Linked DNA regions of Oryctolagus cuniculus. The protein of the gene in region 3 purifies or fractionates together with the protein of the main gene of each other region. This does not show direct contact. Links are inferred from orthologs where the notes say so. Each region holds a gene or a part of one and is shown on either strand. Other genes may lie near its edges. The genes, in order: PPP2CA, PPP2R2D, PTPDC1, PPP2R2A and MAPK1.

Region 1 (3,514 bases), on a different chromosome or scaffold from region 3:
CAAAAAAAAAAAAAAAAAAAAAAAAAAAAAAAAAAAAAGGTTTGAGACATATACCTGCCCATCCACCAAGGCAGTGAGAGGAAGATAGTCAAAAAGATCTGTAAAATATTTCCAAACATTTGCGTTTCCATATTTTCTTAAACATTCATCATAGAAACCATAAACCTGTGTGATCTGTCTGCTCTCATGATTTCCTCGAAGAATGGTGATGCGTTCACGGTAACGAACCTACAACAACAGAATGGAAACCATGAAACAGCTTTCAAACACCAAAGGAACATTCAGGAAACTTTCTGAAACCCAGTTTTAATCATTCCATTCCCCCAATAAGAGTCCCTCCTGTCTGTCTACACTCACTCCCTACTCCCATGCTCCTACCATCCAATGATTTATCTGAGACTGCCTTTTCTACAAACTCCATAAGAAACAGAATAATGCAAAAAAAAACAAAAAAAAAAACAAAAAAACACACACAAAAAAAAACAAAAACAAAAACACATAGCTTCTGCACTAAACACCACTCAGAATATGTTCAAGGCTTATCCGTGCTGCAGTATAGATCAGTGGTTTGTTCCTCTGTGCAGCTGCAGTCTTTCACAGTACCGTTATACGGCATATTCTGTATTCATGGGTAGGAGGCACTGTTGAGTAGCTTCTTTCCTTTCTTTAGGCTATTTTGAATTTTTGCCACGATCACCTGTGTACAGTTTTTGAAGACATACGCTTTCATTTCTCTTAGACAGATTTCCAGAATATAATTTGCTTATAGTAAGTTATGCTTCACCTGTTGACAATCATTCAAAGTGACTAGACCCTTTCACATTCTCACAAGCAATGAACCAGGATGCTAATCTCTCCACATACTCACAAATACTCGGTACCTGAGCCATGCAAAATGGTATCTCATTGTGACTTGAATTTGCATTTTCCTGTTGACTAATGACGTTGTGTTTTTGTTTTCATGTACTTACCAGTCATGTATCTGCTGGGGTGAAATCTATTCAAGTATTTGTCTTTTATAAAATATCTGTTGTATTAAGGATTTTTGGAAAAAAAAATCTCAAATACATATTTTTGTTCTTAGTAATATTTTCTGAACAAAAAACCTTACTTTTTTATGAGGTCTGGTTTTTCTTTTTTTTTAAATTGATTTCCTTTTGTTAATATCTAAGAAATCTCTCAAGACCAGGAAGATTTTCTATGTTTTAACCTAGAAATCTTACAGCCATAATTCTCATATTCAGGTCTGTAATTCACTTTTATCCATCTGTCTCAGCACTACCGGCTGAAAGGACAATCCTTCCCCCACTCCTGTCTGCTCTAGCTGCTGTAACACCGCGCCATAACAGAGGAGCAGCTTAAGCAACAGAAACCTGGCGTCAGCACAGTTGGGTTTCTCTGCAGACCTCTGTGTCTGCTTTACAGAAGGGCATCGGCTCTATTTGTCTTCTCATTTTCTTCCCTGTGTCCTATCTCTTACAAGAACACCACTCATATGGGAGTAAGGTCCAGTCACATGACCCCATTTTACCTCAATCACCTCTGTAAAGGTCTCAGCTCCAACAGTCACATTCTGAGGTATTATAGGTTGGGAATTCAAAGTATGAATTCCGAGAGGACACAATTCAGCCTGTTACACCCACTTGCATCAATTCTTAAAAGGTGGCACATTCACTCTTCTCCTGGGATTCAGCCTGGGTCTACAGCACAGCTAGCTGCACACTGCTCTCACACAATCTTCCACCGCCCAGTCTCATGTCTTCATTTATAGAGGCAGAACACAATGGCCTCCAGAAATGTACCTAACATTTCCATGAGTTCAATACTAATTACCCATAATCAGCCCTTGCTGAAAGCACAACGCACTGCTTCTTTAATGTTAGAAAAGTCTATGGCAGACATTTTATCATTCTTTCTACTCTTTAATGAGACTGAATCCCAGAAAAAGAAAAAATTCCCCCTGAAGGGCAAGTCAGTTTCTTTTGGGAAAAGCTGAAACCGGCCACCTTCAGAGCTTATTTTCAGCTTTGCTTCATCTGCCTCCTGTCAACTGTGGACTTTGCAAAGCTGCATCTGATACTCAAATGATTTTGCAACTTCCCTTCTTCAATTACCATTTCCACTATCTACATTATGTCATGTTTAACAGCCACAAACTATTCTACCTCAATAAACCCTAATTTGTGGATATTTAGATGAGTACTTTCTTTTTCTGGTATTAAATACTACAATTTATTTACACAAAAATCTTTTCCTCTTCTATTTCTTCCTCAGCACCATTCTAATTACAGGATTTCTGTCAGAGGATATAAACATTCTAACATTTGATCCATTTGTACCTTTACAATATTTTGAAACTAACTAGGAAGGTAACAACTACCTTTCCATACCTGAATCTACTGAATACATTTCTATTTGGCTAGCCCTCTAAGACTGTTCAAACAATCTAAGGCATTATCTTCTCCCCACTTTTTCATTCTGTCCCAACCCTATGCTTGGAATGCAGAATCCTATAAACGTAAAACCTGAATAATTTGCATTTCTCAAGAGAATTTTGTTCTAAAATGTAACATTTAGTTAAGAGGAAAAAAATAATTACTAGGAAACAACAATCAAGAGAACTGTCTTGAGCCGGCGCCGTGGCTCAATAGGCTAATCCTCCACCTTGCGGCGCCGGCACACCGGGTTCTAGTCCCGGTTGGGGCACCGGATTCTGTCCCGGTTGCCCCTCTTCCAGGCCAGCTCTCTGCTATGGCCAGGGAGTGCAGTGGAGGATGGCCCAGGTGCTTGGGCCCTGCACCCCATGGGAGACCAGGAAAAGCACCTGGCTCCTGGCTCCTGCCAGGATCAGCGCGGTGCGCCGGCTGCAGCGGCGGCCATTGGAGGGTGAACCAGCGGCAAAGGAAGACCTTTCTCTCTCTGTCTCTCTCTCTCACTGTCCACTCTGCCTGTCAAAAAAAAAAAAAAAAAAAAAGAGAGAACTGTCTTACCCAGTTCAAAATAATCAAACATAAGCTGAAATTACCTTAAGAGCTACAAGCAGTGTAACTGTTTCAACGGAGTAATATCCTCTGTCAACATAATCTCCCATAAACAAGTAATTTGTGTCTGGTGATTTGCCACCAATTCTAAACAGTTCCATGAGATCGTGAAATTGCCCATGCACATCTCCACAGACAGTAACTGGACATCGAACCTCTTGCACGTTGGATTCTTTTGTCAGGATTTCTTTAGCCTACAGACAAAACCATAAAACAATATTTAGTATGAAATGACATTAACAAAGATACACTGAATTATATTTAATGCAGCTTAAGAGGCAAACTTGGTTTAAGATGAAATTGTCAGAATTTATGATCCTATTAAAAATAAGACATCAGATGGCTAGACTATTCCTTTGCTATCTCATCTCCGAAACCTAGAAAAAAATGTTATCAGGATGCACAGCCCATTCCCATCAATAATAGGAATGTTCAAGCCTGTCAAATGGCCATCTGATTACATACCAGAGAGT
Region 2 (3,514 bases), on a different chromosome or scaffold from region 3:
CTGGTGGGGGACTGGGCGTGTGCTCTGCACGACACCAGCTCTCGGCCGTGAAGGTCTGTCCCAGTCCCTGCTATGTGGTCGTCATTTCAATTCCTGTGCCTTCCGTTTACAGGTCCCCATCTTGAAGCCCATGGACCTTATGGTGGAAGCCAGCCCGCGGCGGATCTTTGCGAATGCTCACACGTATCACATCAATTCCATTTCAGTGAACAGTGACCACGAGACGTATCTCTCTGCAGATGACCTGCGAATTAACCTGTGGCACCTGGAAATCACGGACAGAAGTTTCAGTATCCTTCCCCGCACATCCCATGCCTGCTTCTTTCTTTCTTTTTTTAAGATTTACTTATTTATTTGAAAGTCAGAGTTACACCAAGAGAGAAGGAGAGGCAGGGCCGGGGGTCTTCCACCCGCTGGTTCACTCCCCAGATTGCGCCAGTCTGAAGGCAGGAGCCAGGAGCTCCCTCCAGGTCTCCCACACGGGTGCAGGGGCCCAAGAACAAGGGCCATCTTCCACTGCTTTCCCAGACCGCTATAGCAGAGAGCTGGATCGGAAGTGGAGCAGCCAGGACTTGAGCTGGCGCCCATACAGGATGCCACACTGCAGGCAGCGGCTCTACCCGCTGTGGCACAGCGCTGGCCCCTGCTTCTCAGTCTCACCGCACGCTGCACACTGCTTAGAGCCAGTGCTGTAAGTTCCCCGTGAGATAAAGCACTTTTCCCTGAGAACACGGCGTTGTTCTGCCTTTGGGGGAGGTTCTCAGTGTGCTGGGAATGACCCGAAGGCCGTGGCCCGCGTGGCTCCGCCAGTGGCAGTGTTGACCAGGCTGTGTTGCGTGTTTTTTCTTCTACATTGCTGACAGATCATGAAATGGCGGAAGCTTAGACGAGGGTGACGAGGGTGGCATTTCACTCCCTGCCTGGGAGCAGTGTGGCGTGGGGCTTGCGCTGCCTCCGGGCAGTCAGTCGTCAGCCGTGGCCTCGTGCCCTCCGTCGCCTGTCCGGCTGCTGCGCCCGGGGCCATGTGGATTCTGGGCAGAGCCCCAGCCCTGCTCACACATGCTCTGGAGACTCGGCCTCCTGCCCGTGCTGCCCCGCACTGAGGTCACGGGCCTGGCTGGGCAGCTCCTCACGCTGAGCCCTGCAGCCTTCCCGGAACCTGCTGCCTCCTCTCGGACTCGCTGGGCCCCTCGTGGGCTCCCCCCGCCCCGTGGCCCGCACGTGCCCCAGCCAGCAGGCCGGGCAGACAGGGCTCACTGTGCATCTCTCCCTGCCCGCTGTCGGTGTCGGTGACTTCCCCTGGACAGCCGCGGGCTAGTCTCTCCGGCACAGCTGCAGCGGGCGGCCAGGCTGACCCATCGTGGAATCCTGACTTCCCTCTTGTCTCAGTTGACTGGTTTCTACGTGGACGTGGCTCCAAGTATTCAGAGCAAGCTCTCCATGTCAGATAATCAGATTCTCTGTGGCAGTATTGGGTGTGTATTGGGTGTGTGTAGCGTGCGTCTGTTACTTTTTCTTGGTGGTTAAACACACGCTGAGAACAGCAGAGAGGTGGTCCCTGCATGGCCCTCCGTGCTCCGTCGTCTGTTAGCGGGCTCACGCCTGCCCCCCTCTGTCCCGTCCCTGCATGGCCCTCCGTGCTCCGTCGTCTGTTAGCGGGCTCACGCCTGCCCCCCTCTGTCCCGTCCCTGCATGGCCCTCCGTGCTCCGTCGTCTGTTAGCGGGCTCACGCCTGCCCTCTGTCCCGTCCCTGCCATGACCCTCCGTGCTCCGTCGTCTGTTAGCGGGCTCACGCCTGCCCCCCTCTGTCCCGTCCCTGCATGGCCCTCCGTGCTCCGTCGTCTGTTAGTGGGCTCACGCCTGCCCCCCTCTGTCCCGTCCCTGCATGGCCCTCCGTGCTCCGTCGTCTGTTAGCGGGCTCACGCCTGCCCTCTGTCCCGTCCCTGCATGACCCTCCGTGCTCCGTCGTCTGTTAGCGGGCTCACACCTGCCCTCTGTCCCGTCCCTGCATGGCCCTCCGTGCTCCGTCGTCTGTTAGCGGGCTCACGCCTGCCCTCTGTCTGGTGGCTGCTTTGCTCTGAGCCTTCCACCTCCCTGTGTGGTGACGTGTTCCCTGTTGAGGGCAAACTTGGCGCTGAGCCCTGAGCCTTAACGCTGCTCCGCAGACATCGTGGACATCAAGCCCGCGAACATGGAGGAGCTGACGGAGGTCATCACGGCGGCCGAGTTCCACCCGCACCAGTGCAACGTGCTCGTCTACAGCAGCAGCAAGGGCACCGTGCGGCTGTGCGACATGCGCTCGTCCGCCCTGTGCGACAGGCACGCCAAATGTGAGTGTCCCGCGGCCACCAGACAGGCGGCTCCCTGGGGCCCACACGGCAGGCTCCCGGCGGGCAGTGCTGTCTCCCTCGGAGCACTAGCGCCTGGGCCGGGCTGCGAGAGCGCGTCTCACCAGTGAGCTCTGCTGGACCTGGAGCCAGGTCCCTGAGGTCTGGCGTTCGAATGCGTGCAGTCATGAGAAGAACGGTGGTGGCTTTGTTCTTACTTGGCCCGACTCTGTGGAAAACCACAGTCTGCCATGGTGTTTGGAGACAGGCGTCCTGGAAACCTTGCTGGTCCTCCCCCAGGCCGGGCAGGAGCAGGTGCAGCTGCGCCCGCGGAGCAGAGCGCACTCACCAGCCCCAGAGCCGCCAGGCAGCGCCTGTGGGACCTCTGTCAGCTGCAGCCTCAGGCACCCTTGCTCATCCTCACCCATTGACTCTAGCTGTTGACAGCTTTCTGCCTCGCTCTCTTCCTCAGACTAAGTGTGTTAAGGATTCGGCACCCCTGGGGAGAGTGTGTGGCACGGTGGTTTAAGCCATCCCTTGGGAAGCCTGCATCCCACATTGGAGTGCCTGCAGCCAGGCCCCAGCTCTGCTTCCAGTCCAGCTTCCTGCTAATGCAGACGCCCGGAGGCAGCAGTGAGGCCCCAAGTGCGGGGTCTCTGCCCCCCACCCACAAGGGAGACTGGTCCTGGCTTCAGCCTGGCCCAGCCCCAGCTAGTCTTGGGCATTTGGGAAGCAAACCTGCGAACAGAAGCTGTCTCTGTCTTCCTCTCTGCCTTTCAAATAAATAAAAGTAAACTTAAAAGGGGGCGTTCTGTGCTCCTGTGCCTGCTACAGGGGCCTGCGGCGCAGAAACCCTGTCCCATGGCACTTGGGGAGGGGCCGTGTCCTCTGATGCCTGCCCGTGTCTTCATGGTGGCACCTAGAGCAGTTTCCTGTTCCTGAAAGTAAAGCTTTGTTTTTGATTGGAAAGACAGCTAGAGATCTGCCATCTGCTGATCCACTCAGATGCTGCAACAGCCGGGGCCGGGCCAGGCTGAAGCTGGGAGCCCAGAACTCCCATCTGCGTCCGTGTGTGACTGACAGGGCCCACCTGCTGTCTCCCAGGGTGTGCCCTGCAGGAAGTCGGGTTGGACTGGAACGCACTCCGACAAGGCGCATGGCGTGCCGAGCGCTGTCCTAGCCCTTGC
Region 3 (3,962 bases):
TGTGAGCTGCTGTTCCCATGTGGCCCTTAGGGGCCCTGCCTAGAATACTGCTCAGAGCATTCCTCCAGGCAGAGAAGCTTTCTGAATTGGTGATATTAAAAAAAAAGAAAAGAAAAGAAAAGAAAGGAACTCTTCTTCCGTTGCTGTGTACCAAATAACAAGGGCATAATACTACACATGGAGTAGGAATTTGGGCACCAACTTGGGCTTCTGTGTTTCTGCCTTGTTTGACAAAAGTATATATTGTTGGGGACACGGGGGTGGCATTTTAAAAGGCTTGCTTATCGCATTAGTAATTGTTAAAACAGAAGAGGGCTTTATCTATGGCAGTAGTTTGTTCCATCCGCACACGACTAAAATACCGTTTGTTCAGAGAAGGAGTGAGTGAGAGCAAGCGCGGGCGCAGCCTGACATTAACCAGGGAGGAGGCGGACAATGAATGCATTGGCGGTTGTTGCAGTTTCTGTTTTCTTTATATCCTTTATACTCAATTTGCAACCTCCCCCTCATCTAGTTCCTTAAAAAATGTGATCCTTAGTGAGTTTTGTTCATATACATCCGCCAAGGCATTATGGAAGCAGCTTCTTGCCTCATAGCAAAAAAAGACAGGAAGTTGTGCTTGAGTTTGTGAGAGGCTGACTGCTCTCAGTTACTCAGACTCACAACTAGTAGCTGTCATCCGGCAGAGACATTACCAGGAATTGGGTTTTCATGCTCCGAAAATAAAAATATGAAATTAAACGTCTTCTGCTAATGCATGCCCTCTAAAATGTCCTTGTTCTACCCAAGTGTTTCTTTAGGAGTTCTATCAAGAAAATATAGAGTGTATTTGGTTATGAAAATTCTATTTTTTCCTAATGTTGTAAGGCATCAAGCATATCCCACTTTATTAGAATTAACTTTTTGTCCACTCTATCCCAGGGAGGACTAGGAAGAATCTTTCAAAACTATCCAGAGAATAGCTAGGAAAGGAATAACAGAATTTAAACCTATTCATAGGTGTAAAAGGCAGTGATTGCGTCATGAAAACATTTCTTATTTCATTACAGTCTTTTGGAGGTAATTCTGAGTGGTCAGAACTCTTTAAGTATGTTTGAGAAAGAAAATAAAGTAGTCTAGATTTGGGATAATCTACTTAGAATACACATTACTCTTCCGTATATTTGAACAATTTGTCCAAAACACAATCCGTTGGTGTAGAATTTTGCCTGTTCAGATCTAAGTGGGAATCAGTACTTTCTTTGTTTGTCACTATGGAAACGAGTCAGCCTATCCTGAATAGCTCTTAGATCATACAGAGCGATGCCCGTGTCTCCACACACTTCCTCGCTGAGCAGCCGGGGCTGTCTTCTCCCTGCCTCCAGCTCTCCCCTCCCCGGGGCCAGCGCCATGCAGGTACAGGAGGCACCACGGCGGCCCTCAGCTGTGCACTTCCTCAGTGCCTTTTTGCAGGGTCGCCGCCACTCTACCTCAGACCCAGTTGTGCGGCTGCAGCAGGCCCGGCGGGGCTCCGGCTCTGCCACGAAGCTGCTGTCCTCGTCCTCTCTGCAGGTGATGGTGGCTGTGTCCTCTGTGAGCCGTGGTGAAGGGAACCCAACTTTCCCGGAGAGAAAAAGTAAAGCCGTCTTTCTTCTTTTACATTGTCACACCTTTGTGTCTAAATTTAAGGGAATGGGACTGGGCTGTGTTGTTTTTGCCTTTCTAAAAATTGACAGGTGATTCTATTGTATACTTCTTACTTTCTGTTGTGCTAAGAATTTTAGTGAATATATAAAAGGAGGTAAAATGATTGTTTTCTGTTTTCTCATTAGAAATGTAATTTTTGAACAAAATATCCTCTTTTAAAAGATTTCCTTCACAGCTTCTTCCTTCTCACCACCAGTGTAATGTTTGGAGATTATTTAGTGAAAGCTTTTTTTTTTTTTTTAATAGATAATGCGCTTAGGTGAAAAGGAAACAGTTTTCTTTTCTTGATTTGATGAAAGGGACTTACCACTGGCTGATCATCTTCAATCCTGAGATAAAATGGAAGCTGTTTCCCATGTTGCCATTACATTTGGAGAGTGGAATTTGGAATCTTTCCTTCCTTGTATGTTCTAGGAAATTCAGGACGCCCAACACCAAAGTACACGAAAGTGGGCGAACGTTTACGGCATGTCATCCCCGGACATATGGCGTGTTCCATGGCATGTGGCGGCAGAGCGTGCAAGTATGAGAACCCAGCCCGTTGGAGCGAGCAGGAGCAAGCCATTAAGGGGGTGTACTCATCCTGGTGAGTGAGTGGTCATGTGGGTGCCTGCAGCCACACGCGATAAAGGAGGTGAGGGAGGAGTGTGGGAAGAGCCAGGCAGGCCTTTGGAGTCAGGGGTCCCGCCTCCATCCCTGACTTTGCCGCCAACCAGCCATGTGATCCTGAACTACTGAGCCCCAGTTTCCTTATCTGTGAAATGGAAATAATGAAACCAAAACTAAAGGTTTTTTTAGTTAAGTGAAATGTGCAAATATCTTAAATGTACAATTACATAGCTCTTAAGTTTCAAAAATTGCTAGAAATAGTAAAACTTTTGTGATGCAAGTTAAAGGGAACGATAAGGTATACGTATAGTTTTCCAGTTACATTCGGGTGAGCTTTAGCCTTACTTCTATAGTGTTCCTGTGTTCTGTACGAAAGGGCACATCTTCACCCATTATGCTTCAGTTTGCCTTTGTACAAGTTGCCAGCTTTTGTTGGAGATGTTTCTTGGTCAGTTTATTAGCTTGTAACTTGTACTTTTTCATATTGGATTTGCTGGATATATCTGCAGGGGTGCAGTCTGGAATCTGCCTTCATTACTGTTCTCCACAGATCATATTCTGGTCTATCACTGTTACAGCAACGGTGTAAAGAAGCAGATATTATTCCTGAGACATAATTAGACAAGTACATTTCAAACAATGTCACTCAAGATCACATTAATCTTTCTGCTTTATTGTTGACCAAAGTGTGTACAGAGTCCTTTTCACCTCTGCTGCTTCATATCATACCCTCCTCATCTTAAGCTAAGTACTATTTAGTTTGGGGGGTCCCAAACCTTTCAGGTCAGTCCGTACTAAATTTCATGAGGGGGAGGTGTCTTTTGTGGTCTGCCATGCTAACCTGATGTCTCCATTATTCCTCTGAGATTGGGTGACCCACAACTTCCTGTAGACCACCTTCCATTTCTTTCTCCAGACTACTGGTTAGAAACTTAACCAAAGTGCAGCCAGAGCCCAGAGGCCTAGTGAGAATGGCAGCCCTTTATTGGGCCTCTGTCATTAGCTTGGTAAACATCCCTTTGGCTATCAGCTGGGCACTGTACCAGCTGCTTTCAAATTATTATCTCTCCTCTTCATAAAATTCATAGGAGTTGTTACTGCCATGTTATTGGTGAAGGAATTGAGTTCTAGAGAAAGCAATTTGCAGAGTTTCTAGAAAGCAGCATTTGAAGCACTTTCCTTTTACATTGTATCGAATTGTCACACCCACCCTGGGAGGCGGCAGTAGTATCCCCATTTAATACCACCGGTAACAGATGCAGTTAGTTGAGTAATTAGAAGTGCACCTTTGGCCTTTTCCTTTGGTCGCGCTGTTAGATGACTAATCCAGACTATTACCTTTGCCACCACCTGAGCTTTCTTTTCCTTTTTTTTTTCTTAAAGATTTTATTTTTTTATTTGAGAGGTAGAGTTACAGACAGTGAGAGGGAGAGACAGAAAGAAAGGTCTTCCTTCCATTGGTTCACTCTCCTAATGGCAGCTACAGCTGGAGCTGTGCTGATCTGAATCCAGGACCCAGGTGCTTCCTCCTGGTCTCCCATGTGGGTGCAGGGGTCCAAGGACTTGGGCCATCTTCTACTGCTTTCCCAGGTCACAGCAGAGAGCTGGATTGGAAGAGGAGCAGCCGGGACTATAACCAGCACCCATATGGGATGCCGGCACCGCAG
Region 4 (3,514 bases), on a different chromosome or scaffold from region 3:
CACATTAAAAAAAAATGTCAAACTAACCTGTTGACCGTGAGTTCTGAATACATGAATATTACAGTTTCTTAATAAATTGTTGGTTTTAGCAGCTTGTTGATAAAATAGTTGTTTAGGTCTTATGTAAATCTGCATTCCCACAAGAGAGACTTTGGTAACATTGTTTTCTCTGTTACAACTTTATGCTGGAGTCAGAAAGACAAAGGAACATGTGGACTTGTGGAACACTTGAGCTGAGCTATTAGTGTTGAAAATACAGGGAAATAGCACAGAGCAACAAGTTTGGAAGGAAGAGATCTCATTGAGAGTCTAATAATCCCTTGCCCTGAAAAGTGTATATATGAGGCTGGCGCTGTGGTGTACCGGGTAAGGCCACCGCCTATAGTGCCAGCATCCCATATGGGCATTGGTTTGGGTCCCAGCTGTTCCACTTCTGATCCGGCTCTCTGCTGTGGCCTGGGAAAGCAGTGGAAGATGCCCTAAGCCCTAGGGCCCCTGCATCCACATGGGAGACCTGCAGGAAGCTCCTAGCTCCTGGCTTCAAATCGGCGCAGCTCCGGCCATTGTGGCCAACTGGGGAGTGAACCAGCAGATGGAAGACCCCCCCCCCCTTCCCTCCTTCCCTCCCTCCATCCCTCTGTCCCTGCCTCTGCCTCTGCCTCTCCTCTCTCTCTATGTAACTCTGACTTTCAAATAAATAAACCATAAAAACAGTATATATTTACATAGTCTTGTGTACAATTTTATGTACTTTGATTATTTTCATTTACCTCGTCCTAAGGACCAAAAGCTTCAGGTTAAAACAAAACAAAACAGAAAACCTCTGTAGAACATAAGGATTTCGAAATTTTTGTCATTTATTAAATTACTAATTTGTTTCTAATCTGCCTTGTCTTCAAGGTACTGCACTGAAATGATGTACTGTCATCGTACTTCTGTATCCTATGTTTATACTCTTGAAAAAAGTCTTTATCCTCCTGAGCCTCAAAATTTATCAAAATATTTTGTTTTTGGTTTAATGTGTTTTAATGTCCAATTTTTCAGGAATTTAAAAAAGAGTTCTTCCAGCATTACACTATTAGGAACCTCAAACTAAAATTGTCTTATTTGAAAGTTTGGTCACAATTTGAAATATTGTGATTTATTTATCTAATCCTTAATAGAAGTGATGAATTTAAACAAGACACAAAACAGCTAGGGGATGCATCACTTAACTGCTGGAATATTACACACATCATTACATAGGGTTTAGGAAAAAATAATAGATTACAAGTTGCAAGAGTTAGGAATCTTACTGGGTTTAGAGCTTCATATTTCAGAAAGGTATCCATTGAAATAACTCGTGTTCTTCTGTAAGAGAGAGATAGCCAGACATAAGGGGTCACTGGTATCTTGAGTTGCTTTGAACTACTTTATAAGATGACTAAAATTGTTAGACCTTCTTACTTGTGAAAGATTGGAATGTAATGATTTTATGTAAGATGCAATTTTAGTATCACACAGTATTAACTAAATGCATATGTGTCTAGGGTAATATAAACAATTGAATAAGCATATGTATGTAGATAAAGAAGCGAGATATGGCTGTAATTTGATTTGAGTATTACAAAGAGTACCATTAATGTTTAAATTTGTGATATCTGCACTGTATTTTTATGTGTATTTTTTTTTAAGACTTATTTATTTACTTGAAACTCAGAGTTACACAGAGAGAGAAGGAGAGACAGAGAGAGAGGTCTTCATCCGCTGGTTCACTCCTCAATTGGCTGCAATGGCCGGAGTTGCGCCGATCTGAAGCCAGGAGCCAGGAGCTTCTTCTGGGCCTCCCATGTGGGTGTAGGGACCCAAGGACTTGGGCCATCTTCCACTGCTTTCCTAGGCCATAGCATAGAGCTGGATTGGAAGTGGAGCATCTGGGACACGAACTGGCGCCCATATGGGATGCTGGCACTGCAGGCGGCAGCTTTACCTGCTATGCCACAGTGCTGGCCCCGTATTTACTTTTATTCACCCAGTAATAGGAAACTTCTAATTAAGCCAGTTAAGGAATTTTATAAGAAAATCCTTTTTGGAAAAATAATGAAAATCACGCGTTTAAAATGCCTTAAAATGTTTTTGTTCTATCATTGTTACTACTTTTTAAGAACTTTCTTTATTCTTCTCCAGATAAAACAATAAAATTATGGAAAATTAGTGAAAGGGACAAAAGACCAGAAGGGTATAACTTGAAAGAGGAAGATGGAAGATATAGAGATCCTACTACGGTTACTACACTACGAGTAAGTATATAAAAAATGGTTATAATTTTCATGAATAGTGATCTGTATTCTTATCATATAGGCTTAGATTCTGAGCAGAACCTGAATAGAAATAGAGTTAACCTACACCAACAATTCTGTAACCAGGTAGGACTTTGAATAATTCCCATTTAAATACAAAAATTGACATACATAGAGGCCCCACTGTAGCCAGGGCAGGACTAGAACTCAAAACAGAAGGCTGCTTTACACTACACACTCCCGCTCTCATAGTTGGAATGTCAGCTATTACAAGATTAAGCTTCAAGATTAATTCTATTTGGAGACCAAAAACTAGGGATGGGCCAAATTATACAATTGTAGCTAAAACTGTCCAGAATTAAATGCTATGGAATTATTTCCTATTTAGCCTTAAATTGCTGTGAACTGTAAGTACTTGTTAGCATTGTACTTCCTCAAGCAAATGATTTTGAACCAAGAAGAACTGCAAATTCTAATAGTATTGCTGCCAGTAAAAGAAGGTGAATTGTGGGACATCAGGTTAAGCTCCTTTTTGGGATGCCCATACCCCATATTGGTGTGCATGAATCAAATCTCACCTCCACTTCCTACCCAACCGCCTGCTAATTTGCACCCAGGTAGGCAGGTGATATAATTCTTGACTCCTGACTTCAACCTGGCCCAGCTCTTGCTGTTGCAGGCATTTGGAAAGTGAACCAGCAGAAACAAGATATCTATTATTTTCTCTCTGTTCTTTCAAATAAATTTAAAAAGTAAATAAACTTTAAGATAAATTGTCCAGGAGCCAGGCCGTGGTGCAGCAGCTTAAGCTGCCACCTGCAGTGCTGGCATCCCATATTGTTGCTGGTTCAAGTCCCCACTGCTCCACTTCTGGTCCAGCTTTCTGCTAATGCACCTGGGAAAAGCAGCAGAAGATGACCCAAGTATTTGGGCCCCTGCCACCCCCATGAGAGACCTAGAAGAAGCTCCTGTCACCTGTCTTCTGGCTGGCCCAGCCCTGGTTGTTGGCAGCCATTTGGGGGGAGCGAATCAGCAGATGGAAGATCACTCTCTCTCTAACTCTGCCTTTAAAAAAAAATTAAAGATATGTTCATTTTCTGCTGATTTGAACAATTTAAGGAGTCATCATCAGTTCATTTTTAAAGCTAATCTATGTAATATTGTACCATTCTTTGTCCTCTCAAAAATTACAGTAATGAAGTGTTCTGAGCCTTATGTGCTATTTGAAGCAGTGA
Region 5 (4,084 bases), on a different chromosome or scaffold from region 3:
GGATGGCCCAAGTGCTTGGGCCCTGCACCCCACGGGAGACCAGGAGAGGCACCTGGCTTCGGATTAGCGCAGTGCACCGGCCGTGGTGCGCCGGCCACGGCAGCCATTGGAGGGTGAACCAATGGCAAAAAGGAAGACCTTTCTCTCTGTCTCTCTCTCTCTCTCACTGTCCACTCTGCCTGTCAAAAAAAAAAATAAATAAATAAATAAAAAATTTAACCACGAAGTCCTCCATAACCCCAGCACTGTATTTATCAAAAGCCAAACAATGTGCAGTATAGATTAACGGCAGGTTGTATCACCAACTTGCAATAATCTGTAATCTGGGCCCACGATTCAAATGTCAATTATATTTGTTTTATTTCAAAAGAGAAAATTACAGCAAGAGAAGTTAGCACTTCAACTGGAGACAGAGGTTGGATTAGTCTACAGCAGTGACAGAAACAGCTTCTAAATCGACATCACCCTCAGATTAAAGAAAAAAATCTCATCAGCTAAGGGAAAAAAATGCTTTCAACTGACATATCCTAAAGATTTTTTTTCAGTTCATATTTTATATAATTAAAGGGGGGAGGGGTGTCAAAGGGCATGACGGGCAATCCTGAGCCTCTCATGAGATAGTCACTGGTGTACTCACCAGCAGGCATGACAACAATAACACGTGTGACACAGAAGGGATACCAGGGGCAGTACTTTCTTTATTTTTTAAATTATTTTAATTTTTTGACAGGCAGAGTGGACAGTGAGAGAGAGAGACAGAGAGAAAGGTCTTCTTTTTGCCGTTGGTTCACCCTCCAATGGCCGGCGCGGCCGGCGCACCGCGCTGATCTGATGGCAGGAGCCAGGTGCTTCTCCTGGTCTCCCATGGGGTGCAGGGCCCAAGCACTTGGGCCATCCTCCACTGCACTCCCGGGCCACAGCAGAGAGTTGACCTGGAAGAGGGGCAACTGGGACAGAATCCGGTGCCCCGACCGGGACTAGAACCTGGGGTGCCGGTACCGCAGGTGGAGGATTAGCCTAGTGAGCCGTGGCGCCGGCCTCCAGTACTTTTTCAGAGCCTAATTTCTTTCAGGCCTGACCTAATTTCTCTTTTCACTTCTTAGCTGGGGTGGGGGTGGGGGTGGGGGTGGGGGTGGGGGGAAGTCATGCTAATTTTCACAGCTGTATACTGGGGAGCAATTCGCTCCTAAAGCAAACGAAAACATGCAGGATTCAATTATTCAAAAATAATTCCAACTACTTCTATCTAGTCAAGGTGATTGGTAAAGCAAGTGCTCCATGGCATTTCTGAAGTCATCATCACTCAGATTTGCATACGTTTCTTAAACAGACTCGCACACAGCAGTAAAAGAGGCTAAAAATCCCGAAATTATCACTGATGCTATTTTAAGGGACGCTGGGTGTACCACAAAGATCTCAGGCTTCAATCTCAAGACTGACACTTTCTTCTATGACCTTAGAAAATTGGCACCTAACAGAGGGATATTACCAGCTTTTCCTTTGGGGTGGGGTGGGGGGGCTGTTCAAATAAAATACGGATGTGGCACACAGTAAGGGGCACGAAGCAGTCCACAAATTAGTGCTCAGTTACTTCATTCATCAGGAAAAGACACACTCATGAGACTGAGAAGCAGGAGAATCTACTTCTGCACGAAGCGCCTCTTCCGAGGGAGCCTTGCGTGTGACTGTGCAAAAAAAGTCCCCGAAAGGCGGAATGTATACACTGACCGCTAAAATACCAACAGCAAAACCCTCGGTCCTCGGGCCAACACGACAGGATGCATCTATACTGGTTAGGAGCTCACCTGAGAGGAGGGAAGAGAGGGAGAGGAAAAAAAAAAAAAAAAAAAGAGCAAATTGGGCCCAACTGCAAGCAGATTTAATAAACCAAGAGGGATGCCGGCTGCTTATTCCTGAAACGCACGGTAACACATGCATGCCCGTTTAAACATTAAAAAAAAAAAAAAAACTGCAAGACGAATTCTTCATACAAGCCACACTGCCGACCTGGGTGCTTTTTCGGAAGGCCTGCTCAGGCGAGCACCAGCTAACGACCGCTGAGGGACAGACACTTCACGCACAGCCGGCCGCCGTTCCGCACACACGCAGGGTCCAACCGCGTCCAAGCCCAGGGCCATGCATCTGACGGCATTCCCGGCTTCGCGAGCACCCCGGGGCGCGACGGATGCTTCCGTTCCCCTCCTGGGCTGGGGATCGGGAATCTGGGCTTGCAATCTACATTTCTGAAATCTTGGGGGGTGGGGTGGAGGAGCCGGGCTGGAAACCCAGCGGCTATCCGGTGCAGGGCGTCCGCGGGTCCCGGCCTCCGCCCCCCTGCGGCGAGCGAGGGCCCGGCCCGGGACCGGCCACCGGCCACGAGCAGCGACATCTTAAACCTCGAGCCGGGGCCCTGCCCGAGGGAGCCCGGGACTGGGGTCGACCGCTGCGCGGGAGGCCGAGACGCGGGCGAGGCCGCGGCGCATCCGCTGCAGCCCCGGGCGGGGGAGCGGGCCAGGCCTGCGGGGCGGGCGCCGACACTCACCACACCATGCCGTAGGCGCCCTCGCCGATGTACGAGAGGTTGGTGTAGCGCGGCCCCACGTCGAACACCTGCCCGCGGACCATCTCCGGGCCCGTGCCCGCCGCCGCCGCCGCCGCCATGTTGGCTGCCGGGCCGCCGCCGCCGCGCTGGGCTCGACGCTCCGCGGCCGCCGCTCCGCTCCCGCCGCGCTTCCCCAAGGGACCGCGCCGCCGTCCGTGCAGCCGCCGCAGCTGACCGCCAAAGAGGCAGGACGGCGCCGCTTTCGGGGAAGCGGAGAGCCGACGTCCGCTCGCCTCGACTGCCCGTCTCACTTACTGACTGACGGGCGGGCCCGCGGGCGGAGGGAGGGGCGCGCGCCGAGCAGGGCGCCGGGGCGGGGCCGAGCAGCGTGCTCGAGGATTGGCTGCCTGCGGCTGGGGGCGGGGCCGCGCGGGCCGGCGGAAGCGGCGAGCTCAGGGCGGAGCGCTGCGGCGGCGGCGGCGGCGGCGGCGGCGGCTGCGGAGGAGGCGCCGAAGGGCGCGGTCACGTGCGTTCGCTGGTGAGTCGGCGCGGGAGGCGGCTGAGGAGACGCTGAGAGCGGAATGGGGAGACGGGGCGTCACGGGGCTGACCCTGAGGGGCCGGGGCTGGGGCCGGGCGGCGAGCTCGGGCAGTGCGGGGGAAGACGAACGACGCTGCACACGTGGGCTTCGGGCCCTCTGGGGCCCAAACGCTCTGAACAACTTAGGAGGTGTGGAGATTATGTTAGGAACCAGAATACGTGGTCCAGACCGAAGAAGAGATTTGAGTACTGAGAACGTGTGAGACAGGAGAGGCCGAGTGGGTCTGCCCTTAGATCCGCCCTCGTAGAAGATAACTTCCGGAGAGAGGTTTCTCAGGCTGAGGTACTTTCTATGGAGAAATGTCAAGCAGAGTAAGGGGCAGAGAGGAGTGGGTTGAGACACCTGAGGAAGACTCGAGTTGCCACTGTGAGACCGAGACCCATGTTAGGCCGGATGGACATGAGCTTTGAGACGTAGAACGTACTGAGCTGGAAACACCAGGGTGGAATCGCTAAAACCAATAGTCACAGACACATGAGAGGCTGAAAATTAAAAAACTGCAATCTTGAAGCAGACGGATGCCAAGGAAGCTCAGGCCACGCGGTGGAAGATGGGCCAGCCACCGCCTCGGAACCATTTCCTTGCCGTCTGCAGAGGGAAGTGAGAAGGCAGACTCCCCTCATAGCCTTCAGAGCTGCTAATTCGAGACGGCTGGAAATCAATAAAGATTAGCCAGTCAGTCTGGCGCGTTAAAAGCCCTGTGGGAGAGAAAAAAAATAGTGTTACATAAGGGGAAAAAAGTGCTACACCCAAAAGTGAGTTCAAATGTTAGTCCGTGAAGCAGAACCCAATTTTGAAAACACCTAATTCTTATTCTTGATTCTGAAAGGACATTGCATCTCTTTTTAAAAACAGGATGATGAGGCCGGCGCCGCGGCTCAGTAGGCTAATCCTCCACCTTGCGGCGCCGGCACACCGGGTTCTAGTCCCGGTCGGGGCGC

What was found.
Region 1: the proteins of PTPDC1 (region 3) and PPP2CA purify together in Homo sapiens (affinity purification with mass spectrometry; 4 studies listed by BioGRID and IntAct, counting the BioPlex papers as one, with this or other methods). This does not show direct contact. The link is inferred for Oryctolagus cuniculus from reciprocal best matches to the Homo sapiens genes PTPDC1 and PPP2CA.
Region 2: the proteins of PTPDC1 (region 3) and PPP2R2D purify together in Homo sapiens (affinity purification with mass spectrometry; 5 studies listed by BioGRID and IntAct, counting the BioPlex papers as one, with this or other methods). This does not show direct contact. The link is inferred for Oryctolagus cuniculus from reciprocal best matches to the Homo sapiens genes PTPDC1 and PPP2R2D.
Region 4: the proteins of PTPDC1 (region 3) and PPP2R2A purify together in Homo sapiens (affinity purification with mass spectrometry; 4 studies listed by BioGRID and IntAct, counting the BioPlex papers as one, with this or other methods). This does not show direct contact. The link is inferred for Oryctolagus cuniculus from reciprocal best matches to the Homo sapiens genes PTPDC1 and PPP2R2A.
Region 5: the proteins of PTPDC1 (region 3) and MAPK1 purify together in Homo sapiens (affinity purification with mass spectrometry; 3 studies listed by BioGRID and IntAct, with this or other methods). This does not show direct contact. The link is inferred for Oryctolagus cuniculus from reciprocal best matches to the Homo sapiens genes PTPDC1 and MAPK1.

What each region holds. Positions count from the first base shown.
Region 1 is NC_091437.1:22,497,926-22,501,439, forward strand, and holds part of PPP2CA (serine/threonine-protein phosphatase 2A catalytic subunit alpha isoform), read right to left. Parts: intron 3,236-3,514; coding exon 3,026-3,235; intron 229-3,025; coding exon 55-228; intron 1-54. UniProt on the Homo sapiens protein: Catalytic subunit of protein phosphatase 2A (PP2A), a serine/threonine phosphatase involved in the regulation of a wide variety of enzymes, signal transduction pathways, and cellular events.
Region 2 is NC_091446.1:1,029,645-1,033,158, reverse strand, and holds part of PPP2R2D (serine/threonine-protein phosphatase 2A 55 kDa regulatory subunit B delta isoform), read left to right. Parts: intron 1-112; coding exon 113-290; intron 291-2,165; coding exon 2,166-2,330; intron 2,331-3,514. UniProt on the Homo sapiens protein: Substrate-recognition subunit of protein phosphatase 2A (PP2A) that plays a key role in cell cycle by controlling mitosis entry and exit. Involved in chromosome clustering during late mitosis by mediating dephosphorylation of MKI67.
Region 3 is NC_091432.1:145,122,021-145,125,982, reverse strand, and holds the start of PTPDC1 (protein tyrosine phosphatase domain-containing protein 1), read left to right. Parts: upstream 1-1,162; 5' UTR 1,163-1,302; coding exon 1,303-1,615; intron 1,616-2,100; coding exon 2,101-2,272; intron 2,273-3,962. UniProt on the Homo sapiens protein: May play roles in cilia formation and/or maintenance.
Region 4 is NC_091433.1:47,880,057-47,883,570, reverse strand, and holds part of PPP2R2A (serine/threonine-protein phosphatase 2A 55 kDa regulatory subunit B alpha isoform), read left to right. Parts: intron 1-2,166; coding exon 2,167-2,279; intron 2,280-3,514. UniProt on the Homo sapiens protein: Substrate-recognition subunit of protein phosphatase 2A (PP2A) that plays a key role in cell cycle by controlling mitosis entry and exit. Involved in chromosome clustering during late mitosis by mediating dephosphorylation of MKI67.
Region 5 is NC_091452.1:28,976,468-28,980,551, reverse strand, and holds the start of MAPK1 (mitogen-activated protein kinase 1), read right to left. Parts: upstream 2,801-4,084; 5' UTR 2,662-2,800; coding exon 2,543-2,661; intron 1-2,542. UniProt on the Homo sapiens protein: Serine/threonine kinase which acts as an essential component of the MAP kinase signal transduction pathway. MAPK1/ERK2 and MAPK3/ERK1 are the 2 MAPKs which play an important role in the MAPK/ERK cascade.